Diceros bicornis minor: one gene and its partner. The protein of the gene in region 2 purifies or fractionates together with the protein of the main gene of each other region. This does not show direct contact. Links are inferred from orthologs where the notes say so. Each region holds a gene or a part of one and is shown on either strand. Other genes may lie near its edges.

The links.
Region 1: the proteins of NPC1 (region 2) and PON2 purify together in Homo sapiens (affinity purification with mass spectrometry; 3 studies listed by BioGRID and IntAct, with this or other methods). This does not show direct contact. The link is inferred for Diceros bicornis minor from reciprocal best matches to the Homo sapiens genes NPC1 and PON2.

The regions. Positions count from the first base shown.
Region 1 is NC_080742.1:32,554,395-32,565,158, reverse strand, and holds the start of PON2 (serum paraoxonase/arylesterase 2), read left to right. Parts: upstream 1-5,642; 5' UTR 5,643-5,678; coding exon 5,679-5,752; intron 5,753-10,764. UniProt on the Homo sapiens protein: Capable of hydrolyzing lactones and a number of aromatic carboxylic acid esters. Has antioxidant activity. Is not associated with high density lipoprotein.
Region 2 is NC_080755.1:11,835,878-11,846,782, forward strand, and holds the start of NPC1 (NPC intracellular cholesterol transporter 1), read left to right. Parts: upstream 1-6,073; 5' UTR 6,074-6,146; coding exon 6,147-6,203; intron 6,204-10,905. UniProt on the Homo sapiens protein: Intracellular cholesterol transporter which acts in concert with NPC2 and plays an important role in the egress of cholesterol from the endosomal/lysosomal compartment.

The DNA of each region.
Region 1 (10,764 bases), on a different chromosome or scaffold from region 2:
AGCCTGTAGGATGAAGGTTGACTAGGGAGCCTGAGCTTTTCATGGTGACCACATAACATAGGAATAAAGGGCCTAATGAGATTACACAGATATTGGAGGTGAGGTAGTAAGTGTTAAAGAAGAGAGAGATCTTCCAGAAGCCCGCTCCAGGGCTCTCATGTCACTCCTGCAAGAGAAGGTATAGTGGCTAGGAGAGGGGCTGTCTTATGCCAAGCACAAATAACTCTGGAGATTTCTTTCCAATCTCCCCTACCTCTATCTTCCACACAGTTCTCAGTCCCTATGCAGGGATAGCAAATAGATTTCAGTCTCCATGGACAAGGAGTGACTGCCTGGAGCACCACAACATGAAGAACTTCAAGGTCGCATCCAGATTCAGGAGAAAAGGAAAATGACCATCTCTAAGCCAGTATCTGCTTTCCCTAGTTTAAGGTGATCTCTAACACTCAATTCAATTCTTAACTCCCCATCCCTTTCCCACTTTTCAACCTGCCTCCTAGCCACTTACACACCCATAAAGCTTTTGGGACTTTTACGTATACCACTTCACTTCAGGCTACAACCTCAAACCTTCTTGAAGGTCCTCTGTTCAGCTTGCTGCACTCTCTGCTAATGATCTCCAAGTCTCCATGTCCAGACAAGACCTCATTCCTGAGCACTGGAAACTTGTCTGTAATTGTCTCCTGGACTTCGAGAACATCAAATGTGCTCATCAAACTTCCCCTGTCCCTGCCACCCCAATCTGTTCCTCTCCCGTCCCAGTTAGTGTAACCCTATTCACCCATTTGAACAACCTAAGCCATCTTCAACTCCTCCTTCCCCCGCATCTCATCAGTCACCCATCTCTACCCATTCAATCTCTGAAATTCCTTAAATCTCCTCCCTCTCCTCCCCACTGCCTCTGCCTTGTTCACATCTGTATCTTCTCTCAAGTAGACTTGGGAAATATACTCCAACTCACCTTGCCACAGCCGTCTGAGTGACCTTTGTAAAACATGAATGTCTCTCCCTTCCTTAAAAGGCTTTGGTGGCCTTACATCACATACTGAATAAAGATCAAAGTTCTTAGCCCTTGACACATAACATTCATTGCATATGTTTGTCCAGGTGCCTGCCTCTCACTGAACTATGACCACCACCAACAGAGGAATGTATGACTCCTTTATTTTGAATTCCCAGTAACTCCTTGGAGATGCAGAACATACTCAATAAATATTAAGTGAAGTAATGCAGGCAGGCAGAGGAAAAGTATAAAAAGCAACAAAGCAACCTAATTTTAAAAACTCTCCCTCATGAAAGTCCACACAAGATCCTTCTCTACAACTCTGACTACCAGTTCATTCATCTCTGCTCTAGCAAAGGAACAGAAATCTTTTTATCTGACAATTAACAAAAGCTATATCAGGGGTGGAAATGAGGTCTTAATATAAATTTTCTTATATTGGGTTCTGGCTCCACCGTTTGCTAGGTGTGTAACCCTGCGCAAGATACTTAACCTCTGGCCTCAGTTTCACAACTTATAAATTGGAGATAATAATTGTACCTAATGCAAATGGTTGTTATGGGGACTAAATGAAGTAGTGTATATAATGTATGTGGAACTGGAAATGTTCAATGAAAATAGCTATGGTTGTTACTTTGAAAGAGGTTCAGGTATGGTTCATTAATAGATAACTAGAAACATTATTGCTATTAGAATATGGAAAACATGCATGTATTTCCTAGAATGGGGGAAACATGTCTTTACTTTTTCCATAGAGTTCAGGCCATACAGAGTCAGCCTCTAAAGGAGGTTGAGAGTACTTGTCTCTGGTCTTTCCAACTTTTCTCTTTACCAGTGTTTTCTACCCCTCTGTCCTCTCCCTCCAAGGACTGACTGCTCCTGGAAGAGAGGCCGCAACTCCTACAGCCCTCTGTAGGAATAGGCGGGGGTCTAGTGGAGACAAATGGGCCATCTGATTGACTTCCAGCATTATCTCAGAATTTGTTTATTCATATGTCATAGAGATACACTGACACAACTGAAAATAACTCATTCATATTAAATTTGAGTTCCATTACTGGACTATTCCTCTTCTAGTAAACCAGGAATATTTTTTTATAAATCGCATAATTATTTTGTGACTAGCACACTACATTGTATTTTATATTTGTGTGTGTTTTTGACCTCTACAAACAGCAAGTTCATATTGTTCAACCTAATATTTGAAGAATGTAAATTTGTTAACTATAAATATTAAAACATATATACAATTTTTCAGTTTCTGTTATGGCATTTCTTCACTTTTAATATATTGGAATTCTCAGGAATTGGCTTGGCTGGGGGGTGGTCTCCCCCACCCACCAAGAAGCCATCGAGTGAAGCATATACAAAGCAAATCTTTCTTTTACTGATAATAACTATCCTTTATAACATCTCTTCAATGTTTTTGTGTTAAAAGATCTGCCCCCTTTTTAAAACAGAGGTAAAGAGAGGAAGGAAATAAAAGGGATATGAAGGGACCAACTTCCCATCACACACTATATAAAATTACAATAATCATGAGTCACCTATTGCACAAATTACCAGGAACATTACACGTGAGAATGCACTGCAAGGAACTTTACAGTTAAAAGTACACTCGTGAAAGGCAGTCCACTTACAGTGTGCTCCAAGGACCATTTTCAGTCTGTGAACCTCTTGCTTCTGGTCCGTGGTGAGATAAGTATGAAAATTTGATAGTAAGCATTTAGAAACTGTTATCGAAATTTGACAAAGTAATTTTACGTCTGTTGAATCACATAATAAGAGATTTGGGCTTGTATTTTGTATGTCTGATTTTTTACTTCATTTTCTAGTAATTCATTTACAAAGGCGAAGAAAAACCTGTCCTTCACTACATGTAGTCTGAGAAACACTGACAAAACGTGTTATTATTTCTGAAATTTTGCTTAAGAACCATCAAATTTCTAATTATAAACTGGTTATATGTCACTACTTGAGTAACACTATTTCATACCAAGTGTAAGGAGCTGCCAGCATACAAACAAGTTCTGAACAAGTTTGTTTTGTGTTGGGTAACTTGGTTATTTGGGAGTCAGAAACCATTTTTCCCATGAAATAGCATAAACCTGGGGTTACATACTGGTGTAGCCTATAAATTCCAGTTATCTCAAAAGATTGCTAAGCTATAGTATAAAATTCAACGAGTGGTATGTACTATAAAATTTAATAACCAATCTTCTCCAACCTCTTACAATGGAGAAGATAGGCTCCTGATTTCCAAATCAGAAAATCTCTCTTTTCCCCATCTGCCTGTGAGAAATGGCAATTCCTAGCCCTATCATGGTGGTGGGGATGGGGGTAAGGACAGGGGCTGCTTCTGCAGAAGTTGTTTCAACAGCAACGCTCAGAGGAAGAATATGGAGCTACAGTACTCTTTGCCTACAGTAATGAAGGAATTAGGAGATCAAGTTTGAGGGAACTCATTGGTCATGTTAATAAAATTAAACCAAAGTTTCACCAAGATTCTCTGAGACTGAAGTTAGGTAGGTTTTGCTGGACTTGAAAGGTCTGGTTCTTTGCCACAAATGCCTCCTTCCTAAACTCCAGAGTCTTATTCCCCTTGAAGCACCTTGAAGGTGACTAGGTTTCATGCTGAATTGAGATCTGTCAGTGGCTACCTTGGGGATTTTTATTTCTCTTTTGTTGTGTTGTTTGAAAAGATTGTGAGGACAAATCTAGGCTTGGTGAGGAACATTGGTAGAATCCATTAGTGATGTCTGCTGTAGGCAAGGGAAGAAGGAGGAGTCAGCACAAGAGCTGTGTTTGCGATCCTGAGAGCATTCTAAAAGATACAGACCTTCAATCCTTTAATTTCAGCTGAAACCAGGCTGAACTATTAAGAACATGACTTTTTAAAAAGCCTAGGAATAGCAAAAGGGAAATAGACATAGATAATAGCACACAGCAAGGTAATCTTATTTATAATTTATGATTTCCTCATTTTGTGACACATGTGGGAGGGCATCTGTGGCTGGCTCCTGACCTAGAGTCCATGAGGCATAGTTTTATGTAATTTTCACTGTCCAGAATGCTTGGAACAAGACTCTCAGACCTAAGACAGAAACCCTGGCAATAGTCCCAGGGCCTCTGTTTTAGGTCCTCATTCTAAATTCTGATTTCATATGTGAGGCTCTTCTCTTCCCCAAAGACCGACACCAAAAATGTCCCAAGAGAAGAGATCCTACCCCTTCCTACCTGGTCATAGGGTAACTATGGCGGAATTCTGAATCTAAGCGGTCCATGGATAGAATTCCAGAGGTTCACGACCTTGGATGAGAAAAAAAATCTTGATTTCAGAGGAAATTTAGCATCTCCTTCAACTATAAAAGTAGAAAACAAACCTCAGAAGCATTAGCAGTACTTATGACTTTGTTCCCAAGGAAAATAACAATTATTTTCATTATTTCATTACAGAGTTGCAGGTATCTTGAAATAACATTTATGCTCATTACTATTTGAAAGAATTGTGCTAGATCTTGTTATCAAATGTATTAATAATGTAGCACACAGCACATTACTATATTACTATAGCACAAACTTTTAAAAGAATATTTTGATAATTGCATTTGAATGTAATTGGTCTCTTTTGCGATCCTGTACATTTTATTGTACGTACTTATAAATATTATTCTGGAAGTTATCTATAGGCTCACTACTGCCAGAGGGACCCGTGAAGCAAAAAAACGTAAGCCTCCTGGGCTTTCAAAGGATAGAGAGTTCTCTATCTAAGGATTGAATCAGAGATACACACATACAGAAGCAGAAGGATCTATCTTTGTGATGGGGGGCAGGGGTAGCTGAGAAACTAGCATCTGCTTTTATTTACTGGTTGCTTATAAAACTGATGTTTGTTGAAAATTGGCAATTGTGACCATTTCTGCCTACATAGTGTAGAGTGGCAGTTAAACACTGGCAAGCATTAAAAGGTTATTTCAGGCATACTCAAGTACTACAATTGTCTCACTCTTACTGTGTGGGTTTCCCTTTTATGCTTTTTTTATTTTTCTTTCTTGATTCATGTTATGGTTGTTAAAGTAAGAAAAAGAAAAGAAAAAGAAAAAAACACAAAACTGCTCTTATTCTCATAAACTGAGTTTAGATCAAAAAATAGTGTCCAGGTCTAGGTTGCTAGTCTAGACCAAGCATTTCTAGAAATAGGATGTTTCTTTCCTCCCATCTACACCGTGTTACAAAAAGCAGTGATTCCAACATGAAATATTTACAAGACATGACCCAGCATTTTTTCCCTTAATAAAAAAAATCTTTAAAACTTTACTCTAGAAGTTTCTGACTGAATATCGAGTGAGGAATGTTTTTGAAGACTAGGAAAATGAGAAGAGTATAAAGGCTGCCTGAGCTTCTTGCGGGAGTTGTTTGGGAAAGGAGGTGAAGGAATTCCAAGTTTCAAGCCTTTAGCATAGACGGGGCGTGAGAGGCCGGTTCCCCGTCCCGGGGAAGGTGTCTGGGGAGGCAGGGCTGCGGCGACAAAAGCCGAGGCCGGCCGAGGGCGGAGCCGCCGCTCCCCGGGCAGAAGCCGGCCGGAGACGGGGCGGAGCGCGGCCCGAGCGGGGAAGCGGGCGCCGCCCTCAGTGTCCCCGGCCAGGCCCGAGCGAGGCGGCGCCGGCTCCGCGCCATGGGGCGGCTGGTGGCTCTGAGCTTGCTGGGGATCGCGCTGGCCCTGCTGGGCGAGAGGCTCCTGGTGTTCAGGTAGGTGGGGCCCTCTCGGACCGAGCCGTCGGCGCGCAGCCCGGCCGGCCACCAGGCTCCGGGACGCCCGCCCGGGAGACTCCGTGGCGCGCGGGCTGCTGAAGAGGGCGCAGGCCGTGGAGGGATTTGAGCGCCGGGGACCCCGGCGGTGGTGAAGAACCACGCATTGCTCCCTGTTCCCCAGCTGGTGGAAGCCCTCCACACGCATCCCCAGCTTCTAGCAAAACCCAACACAGTTTGGGCCGAATTTCGAGACTTTCGAGAAAGTTTATGTCTTTGCTGCTGACAAAGTTCTTTTCTACCTAAGTTGACAAGCGAGTGCTTTGCAATTACTCAAGGGCAAACCTAGTGCTTTAACTTGAAAACAAAGCTACTATTCACGCATTGAAACTTTAATTATAAAGATTTATTTCAGGTCATTGGTGCTGTTTCTCTTTGTTGCCCAAACCAGCCTTCGTCTTTAATAAAGTTGTTCTCCGTCCCTCCCCTGCATTGTTGGAGAAACTCTTCAACTCTCTCATCTTGGCGCTGCAGATCAAAGTATGCTTGAGATATTCAGCTGCTGTACTTACATCACTTCCTTGTCTCTTCCCCCGGGAACCCTGAGGCCAGAATGCTAAACAGTACAAGCCTAGTCCATCGGGCGTTTTAGTTATAGTGAAAAAACGCGGTGGGTAGACGTCACAGTTTCTAAATTACCAACTCAAATTTTATAAACTTCATGCAAAAGAATTCCAGAAATATTGAGCACCTACTGTGTATGGTGTGCTCTCCTAGACTCCTGTACTAGAGTAAGGCACAGTCCTTAAGAAGTTTACCGTATTACAGGGGAGGAAATAAAACAAACTTATCAATTAAGAGGTCCAGGACAGGCACAAACCAACCCCTACAGGCTTAAGAAGGAAAGATTACCTCCCCTGAAGGTGGAGATCAGGAGGAAGAAACATTTGACCTTGGCCTTGAAGGATGGGTGAAACACACATGGGGATGAAGGAGGCCATCCAGATGGAGAGTGCAGCGTGAACAAAGGGAGTAAGGTGGGGACGTTTGGAGACTAGCAACAGACCAATTTGAGGGGAGCGTAAAGTTAAGAGATGAGAATAGTAGGGATGGGGGGAAGCATAGGTTTTGAGAGGGTTAAATATAGGTTGAAATATTGGGGCCTACTTTAATAGGCAAAGGGGGGCTGTTGATATTTGTTGTGTTTTGTTTTTTTTAAACCATATAAAGCATCGTCAGTAGAGATGAACCTGGAAGGATGGACTGGAGTAGAGCAGTAGTTCTCAATCTTGGCTGCACATTAGGATTTCCTGGAGGGCTGATGTCTGGGCTGCACCCCCTTAGATTCTGATCCGGTTGGTCTGGGTGGGGCCCAGGCATGAGTATTTTTTATTTTTAAAAATTCTCCTGATAATTCTAATATGCAGTTAGAGTTGAGAAGTACTAGAATAGGGAGTGAATAAACATGGGGAAACTAGTTAAAGTATTGCAGTAGTTTGGAGAGAATAACAGGGGCCCAAGCTCTGGAACCCCAGGGAGGAGGGAGAAGTCAGAGGTGATACCAGAGTTCTTAGCTCTGCTGTCCTGGAGCTGTAGCTTCATCAGCTGATAAGGGGATTCAGGAGGAAGAACAGTGTGTGTTTGGGGCCAGGGTTAGAGTTGGGGGAGGAATGCTTACTGGTAGGAAATGACATGTTGACCATAATTTCCACGTTGTGTAAATGCCCCTCCTGTTCTACAGAGTATTCTTGAGTTGGATGATTTTATATGATCTGTCCAGCTCTCAGTTTCAAAGGCAAGACCACTGAAATTCACAAACTCATTAAGTGGTCCCTGAAGTTCGAACCACCAGTTCCACAAGTTGACATCTTCTCAATCAACAGTCAATTTTTACTTCTTACTAATCTTCAAGTGTTAAATTTAAGCCCCTTTGAATGATAAATGTTATAGTTGCAAACCTAAGAAAAAAGTAAATAAAGCTTATTTACATGGAACACACCTGATAGGTAATTTACAATTTAATGCATCTTTTCTTTTTAAAGACTTGACTATAATAAACTTTATTGAGCAGTGACTTTATAGGGTGGTAACTTCATTGGATTGTTGAAGGTCCAAATTAGCTGATGTGAGAATTTTGGGATGAGTAATGAGTGGCTAGATTTAGCAAATAAAAATGCAGGAGGCCAAGTTAAATTTGAATTTCAGATAAACAGTGAATCACTGTTTTTAGTATAAGCATATCCCATGCAATATTTGGGACATAATTATACTAAAATATCTTTCATTGTTTATCTAAAATTCAAATTTAACTGGGCATCTTGTATTTTATCTGGCAGCCCTATGATTGTATAATATCAAGTGCCTTCTGTTTACAGAGTTTGGTGGAGTGCTCAAATGCATAGCATTTCTCCTTTCAGACCCTTAGGGTCTATTTCAAAAAGCAGCTTGTTTCCATTTCCCCACAAGGAAAGGCTCTTCAAAAAACAGGTTTTTTGTTTGTTTTTTGCTTTAATCTGGTGCCTACTATTTCATTATTTTATTTTTAGAGATGGTACTTTGGCACTCGAGTTCTCTCTCTCCCCCAGGGTGCCCACTTAAATTTCAACTTGAATTTCAGAATAACAATGAACAATTTTTTAGTATAAGTGTGTCCCAGATGGATAAATGGAATCAAAGTTGTCACTTTTCTTTTGAACTGTAACTGGCTAAGGTTCCCAGGGGAAGATGGCCTATTACACCCAACTTTTCCACTCCTCCCTAGTTGAGCAATAAAGGGGAAAAATAAAAATACATAAATATCCCCAGCTGGTTGCTCCCTGTTTGAATGCTTGTATGAATCCTGAGACTTGAGTGCATCAGAGACCTATGCATGGGCAGGAACCCCCCAAAACAAGCACCTGAACGTTCTGCTTGTTACCTGACACCTTTGATGACAGCTCCACCAAGAGGCCATCCAGTCTGCTTCTGAACACTTCTGAAGGGTCAGGCTTTTTTTAAACCACCATCCTCCTTATCAGTTATTGTGTGACTACTGTGTACTGGTCACTGTGTTCAAAGTGTGAAAAGTTCTTTATATTAAACCAAAATGTATGTTTACTGACGTTTGGAAAGAAAGCCCTTTTATATTTATGCTTTCGTTTAGTCTTCATATATATTGTCCTTTCTATAGTATACATGTAAAAACTGAGGCTGGGAGAGGTTAACTAGTTAGTTCAACTGGTAGTTAGTGCTGAAACTGTACTCTAAGCCAGGTCTTCTAATTCCAAATACAGTTTGCCGCAGCCTGCTAGCTTCTCTGCCATTGGAGCAAATTTTGCCTGAGCACAAATTCTTTGTTACTACGTGCAGGCATGCAAGCATTCCAGGGGCCCAAGGGGTGAATTCCAAGGGGTTTCACAGGTCTGTATATAAAAGATAAAGCCCCTGTTTGTCTATATTTAAGTCTGTACTTAAACGATAAAGCCCCACCAGTAGTTTGTAAATTGGAAGGCAGTAAGATATGGAACAAAGTACTGCCTGGTCATAACACTGTGTTCCCAGTTTGCTCAAGGCGTGTTGGCACCACAGCCTGGAGCATCTCGACTGCCGCCACACAATGATGCAGGATAGTAATGAATGGCCCCTGTCTCCTTCCACTCTGGATGGGTAATGCTGTTTCTGAGTGAAAGAAATAGAGATTGATTTCGTGGTAATGACTGTTGGTTAAGGATTCATGCTTGGTGGCCAGATAGCCTGAATTCATTTCCTAGCTCTGTTGTTTACCTGAGACCTTGCTTTTTATTTCACCTTTCTGTGCCTCAGTGACCTAATCTGTAGGATGGGAATAATACTACCTGCTCCAGAATGGGGCTGTGAAAAATAAATGAGTTCATGCTTGTAAAGTGCTGAACAATGCCAGACATATAGGAAGTGCTCAGTAAAAGTTACCTATGATGACAGTGCTGTTTCAGCAGGGGTTCTTAGGCTTTTTGTGCCATAGATCCCTTTGGCAGTCTGGTGAAATCCTGACTCCTCAGCATCATTTTTTTAAGTGCATAAAATAAAGTACATAGAATTACAAAACAAACTTGAATACTATTTAAATTAATACTAATTTAAATACTTAAAATACTATTGCCAAACTATTTTTAAAATTAATATATGATATAGTAACATGGGGTTTTCATTAAAGTCTTGAATAGATCTAGAGGTAGTTTAATAGCTAACAGTGGATATTTTGAAGTAGTGATGAATATAAATGGTATTTTGAGATACCTCCCATAACTGAAATGTGATGTAACAATGTCTGTAATTTCTATTAGTGACAGACTCATAGGTACTGCTAGTAGAAAGTCCTGTTGTTTGTTGCCTACACTCATCATCAAAGGAAATACTCAATTCCAGTTAGAGGTTTAAATAAAGATGTATATTTTTCCCTGTCCAAGTTCATGGACCCCTGAGTCTTACCCACAGACTCCTGGAAGGTCACTGGACCCCAGATTAAGAACCCTGATGTACATGTTTCTGGTGGGAGTCACTTGGGGAGGGATTTCTGGCTCAGTTGAAGGAAGGCAGTGTATATTCTTTCTTGTATTATATACTGGTAACTACAAGGAAAGTAACCAAATTTTAATGAAAAAGAAAAGGAAAGTGAGAAAAACAAAAGGAACCTAGAACAGAGAAGGCAAATAGCTTTCATTTTGAGTGTCCATTTTAATAGACTGGTAGTGGTTGCCTGGAGCATTAAGGCTGGCTCTGGGATAAAGGGAAAGAGTGCTGTGATTGATTAGCAATGTCAGCACGTCAGCAGAATGGCAACAGCCAGCTGTCTCTGACCTGGTATGCTAAGTGTTAGGGAGGAAATGGACATACTGTTAGGAAGGAAATAGGATGTAGCAAAAATATCACTTGTTTGTGTTTGTACCATTTGTCTTTTTTTTTGGCGTGAATGCATTTAGGTTTATTGATCTGCTAGACCAAAGAGGTTTGTATAGTTTTCTCTTGTATATTCCCCCAAACTTCTTAAATCTATT
Region 2 (10,905 bases):
AGCAGCTCTATGGAGCAGGCCATAGGGAGAGGAACCAAGGCCTCCTGCCAGCAGCATCTTGGAAGCAGATGCTCCAGCCATAGTCAAGCCTTCAGATGATGGTAGCCTGGGCTGACATCTTGACCACACCTCATGAGGGAGCCTGAGCCAGAACCACCCAGAACCACCCAAATCCCTCACCGACGGAAATTGTGATATAATAAGTGGTCTTTTAATCCACTAAGTTTTGGGATAATTTGTTATGCAGTAATAGATAACTAATATAAGTGTGGAGTATGTAAAATTCATTGAGCTGTACATGTAAACTTTGTACACTTTATATATGTATATCTTAATAAAAAAAGTAAAAAAGAAAAAAGTCTATTACCCAAAGAGGGTCTCAAAAATCCTCAATCTGAAACTCCCTAGGCTTTAACTCAAGGCTCAAGGTCTATATTTCACCAAAATGTGTTGGCAGTGTGTAGCCTGACAGAGGGAGACAGGTGTGAGCTGGTCATCTGCTCCTGTTCCCTCTGTTCAACTGGACAGGCTTCTACTACCTACAGGTGCTTCTTTTAGAGCCAGCTCTAGCTGCTGGTCCTGCATCGTTTTGGGGCAATCTATCAGCAAAACTTACAATGTCTGTAAATAGTACAGGGAGTTATACAGCATTAGCAGCAAAAACAGGCCAACTTCTCCACTAGGCATGGTAGACACAGTGCCTAGTGTTCCCAATAGTTTTAAGGTCCCATGAAAATGTTTTAATTTTAATTTATTTTAAAATAAGAAGAAAAATAAGAATATAATAATAATGAATATATAATAATAAATCCATCCTGGATTATATCTGTCTTTATACCAATACAGTTATAAAATATAACTTTCAGTGTCTTTTTTTTAAGGAAGAAAGGGCCCCTAAAGGCAAAGGTGACTAGAGCTCACAAAAGTCACAATGCAGCCCTGAGCAAAGGAAGGGGTGCTACGGACTGAACTGTGTTCCCCCAAAATTCATATGTTGAAGCCCTAACCCCCAATGTGTTAGTATTTGGAGACAGGACTTTTAGGAGGTATCTAAGGTAAATAAGGTCATAAGGCTATAGGGCCTTAATCCGATAGGATTGGTGGCCTTAGCAGAAGACGAAGAGGAAGAGAGTGATCTCTCTCTCTCTTCACACACATGCACCAAGGAAAGGCTGTGTGAGCACACAGGAAGAAGGTGGCCATCTACAAGCCAGGAAGAGAACCTTCACCAGAAAGTGAACAGGCTGGTATCTTTATGTTGGACTTCTCAGCCTCCAGAATGGTGAGATATAAATCCCCGTTTTTAAGCCACCCAGTCTATGGTATTTTGTTACAGCAGCCTGAGCTGACTAACACAAGGGGGAAAAGTAAAAAAATGTGAGCAAGGTGAAGCAGCGACAGGTCCATCAGCAACTGGCTCAGATATCACCAGGCGAAGTTGGTTGCATCCTAGTACCCCAGAAGCCCAGCTCTATCTTCATTTTCTATTATTGAACTTCAGTTTTTGAGTAGAAACCAGGCAAGCTTGCAGTCTGTGCAGTAGTGAGGCATTCCTTTTTCTTTGCTCACTTGAATCACTGCCTACTTTGAAGTTTCCACATCAGCAGAAGGTAAAAAAAAGCTTCTATAGTAAAAGAAATCAAAATTATTTCATTGTAATGAAATTTTATTAACATGAATATACATCCCTAGTCTAGAAGATGAGATATAGTTGGTGCTTAGCCAATGAGGCAACCCAGGAGAGTGACGGTTAAAGAAGAACATGCTTTATGGAGGACAGCAAGATTATTCATGTGGAACGCTACTAAGAGATCAAGTGAGATGAGACCAAAGGAGTTGTCATTGGACTTGGCCACACAAAACCAATGATGATCTTAAGAGGAGCAGGTATCCATGTGACTGCCTAGCCTTTGGGGGATGAGGGGGGCTGGGTCCTTACATCACTCATCACAGCAAAATAATTCCAGATGGATCATTATTTTCATGAAATCATTAAAACTCTAAAAGAAAACATGAAATAATTTTTTATAATCCTGAAAACTAGTAAATTAGTAAAAGTATGTGCAACACATATCCTAGACCAAGTTAATTTTCTTAATAAATAAAGAGCTTTTACAAATCAATATGAAAAAGAATATCTAACAGAAAATGAAGAACACAGAAAAAGAAATAAAATCATTTATAAATGAATAGATTATTTTTCCCCCTTTGGTGAGGAAGATTAGCCCTAAGATAACATCTGTTGCCAATCTTCCTCTTTTTGCTGAGGAAGATTGGCCTTGGGCTAACATCTATGCCCATCTTCCTCTACTTTATATGTGGGACGCTGCCACAGCATGGCTTAATAAGCGGTGCATAGGTCCATGCCTGGGATCCAAACCTGCAAACCCCGGGCTGCCAAAGCAAAATACGCAAACTTAACCACTAAGCCACCGGCCTGCCCCCCAAAAGATTCTTAATCTCACTAATAATTAATAAAATACAAATTAAAGCATCACAATATTTTTTAAAATATGTAAAATCAGATGCCATTTTTCACCTATAAGAATGGCAAAGATAAGTGTTGGCAAGGATGTGGGAATCAGGCACCTCCATATGTTGTTGGCAAAGGTATAAACTGCAATCTGTTTGGAGGACAATTGGCAGTAATAAAAATTAAAATGAACATTTCCTTTGATCCAACAATAAGTTCTTCCAAGAGTTCTATATGTATATGATTACAATGATTTAGGTACAAGGATGTTCATTGCATCATTGTTTCCAGTAACAAAAGTGACAAACTGAATGTCCAACAGGAGATTGGTTAAATAAATTATATAATGGATCAAAAACTACTAACATGACTATTTCTAGCCTTCCCCTTCCATCTGCTAGGTAAAGAGAATTTTGTCTTAGGTCAGTGTTCTTATTTCTCTCCCTAAGGGAAACGTTCAACAGCTTTTGGACTTCTGTGATGCAGTATATGAGGAGAGCGGAGGGTACATAAAGATGCAAAGCTTTGTGGAATCTAGACAAGCTCAGGAATGTGAGGAAGCAGATAGAAAAGGAAAGGTGATTTTTTTCGATATTACTGGAACCATACAAACCCTTCACATGTACCAGAAGTGCAATTTGAGAACTCGAGTTATTTTGAAATACTTGGTTGGTGAGCTATATTTCATTGACTTAGGCACTACTCTGAGACTGACCTACATCATTCTGGCTTTGGGAATGTTACATACACACAGAAAATTCTATAGGGCTAGTAAAAGCAGTGAGGTGAAGAAGCATACTGCTAAATGTAAAAAAGCAAGCTGCAAACTGTATCTATATAGTCCCACTTGTTTAAAAAGTCCATATATTATATTCACATATATGTCTTCAAATGCATAGAAGTTTTCTGGAGGATATTTCTGCACATTTATAAAGAGGCATATGTCTAATAATTTCATTTTCCCTCTTGTCCTTTATTATGAGGCAGTCAATATTGAATTGGTGTTTATAATGATAGTGATATTGAGTATTATTTGAACAAAGTTTCTCTTAGGATCTCAACTATGTTAAAACAATTTTCATAGGAGAAAGTGCATCACAATGTGACATAGCTTATCCATAGTAGTGGAATTATAAATTATTTTTTTATTGTAGTCTCTAAACCTTTCTGTATTTTCAAAGTCTCTAGCATAAGCATGCATTATTTTGTTATCAGCAAAAAACATTTCTCTTAAAACTATGACAATTGATTTTAAAAATATTTCCTAGGCTTTTGGGCATGTTGAAGCTGTATGAAAAACAGAGCCAGACAAAAATATATGGCAAAAAGATCTTTTTGTTACTGTTTTGTAGCTGAGCAAAAAGCAGCTTCTGCTCACCACAATCTGGTGCCAATCAATTGCAAACAAGCCAGTGGTTGAGAAAGGAAAATTTATTTTCCGATTAGCTAGCATAATCGGAGGATGGCAGACTAGTGTCCTAAAGAACCATCTTAAAATCACACAGAATCTTGAGGCAGTTATATAGGGGAAATGAGTAGGGAAGGAGGGTGTTTAAGGATGTTGACCATCAGGTGTGACCAACTTCAAGACACCACATTATCTTTCTTTTGTCATTCGTGATGGATACCAATGCAGCATTTTTCTTTCTGGAGGCCATCACGCTCCTGGGGAACTCAGAGAACAAAGTTATCTTATCACAGCTGGGAGACATATGTAAGCAAAGTCATAGAACTAGCAGCTCATGTATTTTGCAAAAGCAAGAGGAGCTTAATCATCTAGGCTAGAGTGCATTCTCAGAGACTAGTGAGTCAGGGTCATAGTTAAAATATTGCTGCTTTCCCTAAGATGCCTTCCTTCATGCTAACTTAAGATCTGTTACAGTTTTAGTGAATGGTGGACACAATTTGTGGGGCATCGAAATTTCTGCCCATTCCAGAATGTCTCATATGGTGCTTGAAATTTCCTTTATTCAAGTCAATCATTTAGTAAAGATTTTTGTTGGTTTGTTTGTTTTTTCCCATAAGGACTGTACTAAACTTAGAAGAGCAACTAATCTACCAGGATCCAGAGAATACATTACAGCAGTGTTCTGGAATTTGAGTGTGCACTGGAACCACCTGGAGGGCTTGTTAAAACACAACCAGCTGGGCCCATACCCAGAGTCTCTGACTCAGTGGGTCTAGAGTGCAACCGGGAATTTGCGTTTCTAACAAGGTCCCAGGTACTGCTGCTGCTGCTGGTTCAGCGACAACACTCTGAGGACCCCTGCATTACAGCATACTACTTTATCTCAGTTCACCAGGAGCAGGAGAGCACACAGTTGGATGAGCGCCAGGAGGTCGTCAAGGAAAATCTAGGGCTGAAGATCCAGAGGAAATCCCTATAGTTTTAGTGCGGAGCCAGCCAGGTGGACATCACAGGGCTGAGGAGGTGGGGAGGCAAAGACAGTAACTGAATCAGCCGCTTTGTAGAGTAGGGATGAGAATGTCACCTACATCATGGTTCTACTGGCACTGGGTCTGATCATTGTTGCAGCTGGATATTGTCTTTTCATTGTAAACTGGCTTCTCCTGTTGGGAGAAGAGATCCTTACCTCCATTTCCTTAACTTCAAAATGGAAATGACTCATGCTTTTGAGAGGTCTCAATAATTGAAGTCAGAGGGGAAATGTTACCGGAAATGCATATAATAAAAATAAGTGCAAGACCAAAAAAGATTATGATAAGTGCAAAGCTCAAAAATGAAAATGCTTCTCCTTTATCTTTGTGTTACTTGACTTAGAACAAAAAAAATGGACTCCGGTCCCATCTCTGGGTCAAACTTCCCGGGGGTGACGGGAAGCCCCCCCACGGCTTCACTGCCACGCTTGGCTCCGCCAGCAGATAGAGCGGTTCTAGCGCTTTTCCGAACGTGGGCTGAGAGGCCAGTGAACGGAGATTGGGTGGCTCAGCAGCGCCGCCCACCGCCGCACTCCTCCCCTCGCGCTCTCTCGGATCACAACACAGTCAGGCCACAGCGCGGCTCCGCCCCGAGGTTTGCTACAAGCGCCCAGGGGTGGATTCCTTCGGGGTGACTGGGCTCGGGAGAACTTGCTCGGAGTGCTATTTGGGGCCGAAATAAACACATATTCCGCTGAGGAGTGGGGTCTTAATTGGGAAAACAGTCTCCAAGCACTCCCATTCGCTAAAACCTTCTCGCACAAGGTCTCCAACTCAGGAAAGACAAACGGGAGAAATGATTTAAAGCATCAAAACCATACACTTTTGGCACAACTCTAGAAATATCCTCCCAGGCCGGATTCCAAAAGTTCATCTCCCCGGCTCGGGGAGTCCCGGCCGCACGCCTCGGCCCGAGAAGCCGCAGGGCGGAGGAGGTCGTGCCGCCGGCCTGGCACTGCCCGGTCGGGCCCCGCCCCCGCCCCGTCTGGGCCTCGCCCCTGTCCCGCCCACCCCGGGCCGGCCCCGCCCCAGAACTGGCCCAGGGCGTCACGGCAGCTGCGCCTCCCCCAAAAGGGGGAGGAGCCGACGACGCCTAGTTCCTTCCTGACCTGCGCGCGCAGCCCGCCGCCTCTGACGCCCGCTCCCTGAATCAGCCGGCGCGGTGTCCTGAGACAGCCCGGGACGACGAGCCGGCCGAGCCGCTGCCGGCGTCCTCTCCCTGCCCCGCCGCAGCATGGGCGCGCGCGGCCCGGCCCTCAGCCTCCTCCTGCTGCTGCTCTGTCCCGCGCAGGTGAGCGGCTGCCAGCCACCCGGGCAGGCTGTGGGGACTTGGCGGGGCCGCGAGTTGGGGGGCGGCGGGCCATGCAGCGGCTCAGGCGCCCCCGTCCCCCGAGGGGCGCGGGTCCAGCCGGTCCCGGGGAAGTTGGTCTAGCAGTGGAGCCCCTGGAGGTCCCCCATGTCTCCGGTTTCTCTCTGCAGCCAGGCACTTGTCCCTGAGGTCTGCAAGGGGATGGCAACTGGGAGCTTCTTGCTGACCTGTTTTGAGCTCATTCAGCTGTGGTCACCTAATTTCTGGGTTTAGGATGTGGGAGCCGAGGGAAGGAGGAAAAGGGGTAGAGAGGGATAAGAATCTTATTTATTTAACCTGCCTTTAAAAAAAAAATCTGCCACATGCACTCGAACTCGATGAATATATTTAGAAGATCCGACCACTTTATTTCCCCTTCTGCTCCCCTAAAGATGAAGTTGGGAGGGAAGGTAAAGAAAGGAAATAATTCATCAAGCATCAAATTAGAATAGTCCTAAGTACTTGACGTAAGTCAGCTCGATCTTCTAAAGAGTGCAAGTTACTTCTTATCAACTAATTCCCTTTTACATCTTTGGAAACTGAGGCCCACGGAGGGGGGTGGTGAGGGGGTAATTGAATTTCCCCTTGTCATAGTTCTAGCTAGCGACAGGATGGGCCCTGGAACTCGATGTCCTGACTCTCTGGGTCGGCTTTTCCTTGGTTTAGTAGCCTTGAGCATGAGCACCTCACTGCTGTTTGTGTGTCTGTGATTTTCTCCTTTAAAACTATGGGGGTCGGAAGTAATGTTTAAGGATATAGTGCTGATTAAACCGGATCAGGATGAAAGATGAGTGAGCCTCTGGGAATCCTGTGCCCTTGTACACACTCTAGGTGTGTCAGTAATGAAGGGATAGTGAATCAGAGGGGAAGGCAGATTAAGGGGTTTCCCTGGACTAGGAAAACCTCACCTTAAACTTCTCTGTAGTTCTCAGGCAGAAATAGGTGATGCTGACTCAGTAAGGACCTGACACCAGGAGAAGAGCTGTGGCTTCCTCTTCCCTTGTGTATGGGGGGATCCCCAGCACTGTGGGCTTGTGGAGGAGCACACATCTGGTGCCTGGTTAGGAGGGGAGGCAGTGGGATGGGATCAGCGGCTAGACTGCTTACTAGCTCTGTGGCTTTGGGCACGTTATTCTTTCAAGGCTCAGTTTTTTCTGAAGATAAAACTTCATAGGATTATTGGGGTTATTAAGTAACATGGTATATGGAGAGACCTCATCAATATAGTAAAAATTCAAGGACTAATAACATTTATGTGCCTAAAGAAAATACAGCGATTCAGTTTCCTAGAGTTTTAGGTAGGGATCTAATAGTTAGGCTTCACATTAAGTAGCTGTAATTTACCTCTGAAATCCTTTTACCTCAAGGCAGTATCCAAGGCTGATGGCCGGCCTTGGATACTGGGCTCTCCTCCTAGGACTTTCAGGCTAGGTCAGAGGTTGGTCATGAGTCTCTTGCAAAACACTTAGAATCCTTGAGAAGTTCTGTAAATCTGAACTGGAAACATTCCTGTCGTTAGTCTGCAAATTAACTCCCTCGTGTCTGCGAGGCTCTCGGTACACCTGAACAGATGGGCGGGAGGGGTCTTTTAGAATACTTACCTGTGATAGCAGCTCCTTTGGGTTCAGTCTGAGCACTAAGAAAGTTCTGTCATGGGATTACAGACTAACTGTCCTTTGTAAGGCCTGAAATACATTTTGGGGGAATTTTTGCTTTTCATAATTTTAAATTTTTACAGAGGATGAAATAGCATTACTAGACTGCATGGTTTTTAAACCTTGTGGTCGTCCAAATAATGTCTGCAGTTTTGAGAAATAGTATATATCTCTCCTGACTGTAGTTTTTATAAACTTTTTCTTGGGGAGCTTGGGACAGAGTGAGGCTTGGGTAGGAATTCAGCCGTTAAAATGGCTTTTCCCGAGGTTGGAAATGAGTTATCCTTTCGGCCTGAGAGCATTGAAGAATAACCATCTGAAACTGGAGCAAATGTGGGTAATCTTTCCCAGTGTCTCCCACTCCTTGATGGATGCTGTGATCAGATGTCTTACTAACAGAAGTAATCAAAAGAAGATGAGGTTTTTTTATTTTAGCAAGTGGGCAGAAAGAAAACGACTTGCTGAATAGGTCTTTGTATTCCTTCAGTGTTTGTCCCATTACCCGGAACAAAGAATCCCTCTGGGCGTGAAGATGGTATCATCTCATTCCAGGGTCACCCTATCCCACCCTCCACTCCTGAAAGGGATGCTTTTTGGGGTGTTTTAAGGATGACACATTACCTACTGCAGAAGCCTGGATTGGGCCATCTCTAATCTGATCTCAGGTGCCCCTTTCTGCCCTTTCAGCCACAGCTCTGTAAAGGGCGTCAGCGCTCCAGCCAAATTAAACTGCTTACTCTCAAAACCCTGCCTATCTTTGAAGGCCAGTTCAATGCTACATCATCCGTGACATTGTTATCCTGTTCCCCCAACTAAAATGCCATCCCTCTAAAGTCCTAAATCTTTGTTGAAACTGCTGCGGCAGCATTTACTGCCTGGCAAAAGACTTTTGAGTTCAGAGACCTGGGGGTGGGTCTTGACTCTTCCTCTTACCAAGAGTGATCTTGGGCAGACCAGTTATCCTATGGCACCTGTCTCCTTCTCTGTAAAATTGGTTAACAGCTATGCCTACTTCTCAGGGCGCTTGTGGAAAGACAGAGAAATATTGTATGAATTGAACTACTGGATTGCAGGCTCCTTGAGGGCAAGAACTATATGTTACCATCTGCAATATGGCCAGGACTCTTGGCTTTTACTCTTCTGAATCACCAAATCATTGGGCCTTCAGTGGCTTCAGATGAGGGGGCAAGATGGGGAGGGATTCAGAGGCTGGTGGAGATCAGGACTGGATTTACAGCTGGTTTCTGGGTGATAGCAGTGTTCAGCTGTGGCCCAACAAGTTTCCCTGTGCTTGGACCATGCCTCTTAGTCTTTGGAATATTTGCTTTGTCAAGAAAACTTAAAAAAAAAAAAAACCCTCTCTCTGATGCAAGTGTGCTGTTGGAGGTTTTGAGAAGGAAGCTTTAAAATTTGTTCTTATTACTATCCTTAGGCCACAGAGGACCTCAAACTACTGTCATTCACTAATTTCATAAATATAAAGTGGTTGCTATGGACACAGTGTAGGATACAAAAGTAGATCAAAAGAATTAACCTATGTGGAAAGATGTCTATAAAGTGCTATGTGAATGTTAGTAGTTACTATCCCTGTCTTGTTCATAGTTGATGGGAGGAAGGGTGAATACATTAAAAAAATTACAATGGAAAGTACTCTCATAAAGATAAGGACAAATGTTTTGGGGAGTCCATTTTTGAGCTGAACTTTGGAGGGTGAATTAATGCTTCAGGGGTGGTGGACAAGAGGAAAACTGGAGACAATGGGGGAGAAGTTACCTAATTGTTACTAAAAACCATTCAACTGTATACGTGAAAAGGGTGAATTTTATGGTAAATTATCTCAATAGCGCTGTTTTAAAATGACATTCTAGATTACAAGAGACTAAAGAAAAAGGAGTTACCTAACTTTTGCATAGTGCTGCCTGCCATGACACGTCTGAGCTTGTTTTAACCTCACAGAACCCCTTTAGGTAGGTGTGATGCTCTTTTTCCTGTTTTGCAGATGTGAGTGTTAAGGCTCAAGTTTGCCCCAAGGTCACATAGCTAGTAAATGGCAGACTGGGGGCTTGAGCCACCGTCTCTGACTTCTATGCTCTAATTTATTCAAATTCAAAATATTGTTACCAGATTATTCATGTTTAGCAAGGCAAGTTGATGGCTGTTCAGCAGATGTTCCCCTTGGCCAATAAGGCATCTCATTCAAGGCATGCTCCTGGCTCCAGTGTGGCTTCTGCAAAAGCCAGTGGTAAATCAGGGGTAGATTTAGCCTGCTGGCTTGACCCAAGGTTCAGTTGCCATGCTCTGTGAACATTCCATAGGAAAAAGCCTGCAGGCGGTATATATTCCCACCTACTTTCATGGTTTTGTTTTTGTCTTGTGGCTTTTGGGTTGTTTTTTCAAACTTGAGGGTACTGGAGCTCATAAATGCCTAATACTAACTAGTAGTATGACTGTGGGCAAGTCACTTAAGGAAACTGCAAGCTAGAGGAGTTATCTATCAAGTGAAGACTAGCTGAGCCCATCTAACTCTAAAACTGTGACTTAAACACTTATCTACAGGCGAGCTTGGTGTTCACACAAATTATCCTTTGTTATGTGGATATGTTTATGCCAGTTGGCTGTAAAACAGAGTTCCCAAGATTTCCATCAGTTGAAGTCAGACCAGGCCAGCCTCCACCCCAAATGTCCTGCCATTTGGTCCGCCTACTTGACTGCAAAGGAAACAGCAGGGAGCTTAACCTCTGGACAGGATTCTAGTGCTACTCCCTCCATCCCATCCTGCGTTGTCCTGACTTGCCAGGCCAGCCCCTCTGCTTCCTGCGGAGGCCTCTCCTTCTCCCCTCGCTGGAGCTTGAGCTGGGTGTGTCTCCAGGTTCTGCCATGACCTCTACGCATCCAGGACAGTGGCAGAGGTGAGAGGACCCGGCTCTGCACTCCGCCTGCCGTGGGGTGGCCGAGTGCAGGCTTGGAGTTGAGGACAGTCAGTGGTACTG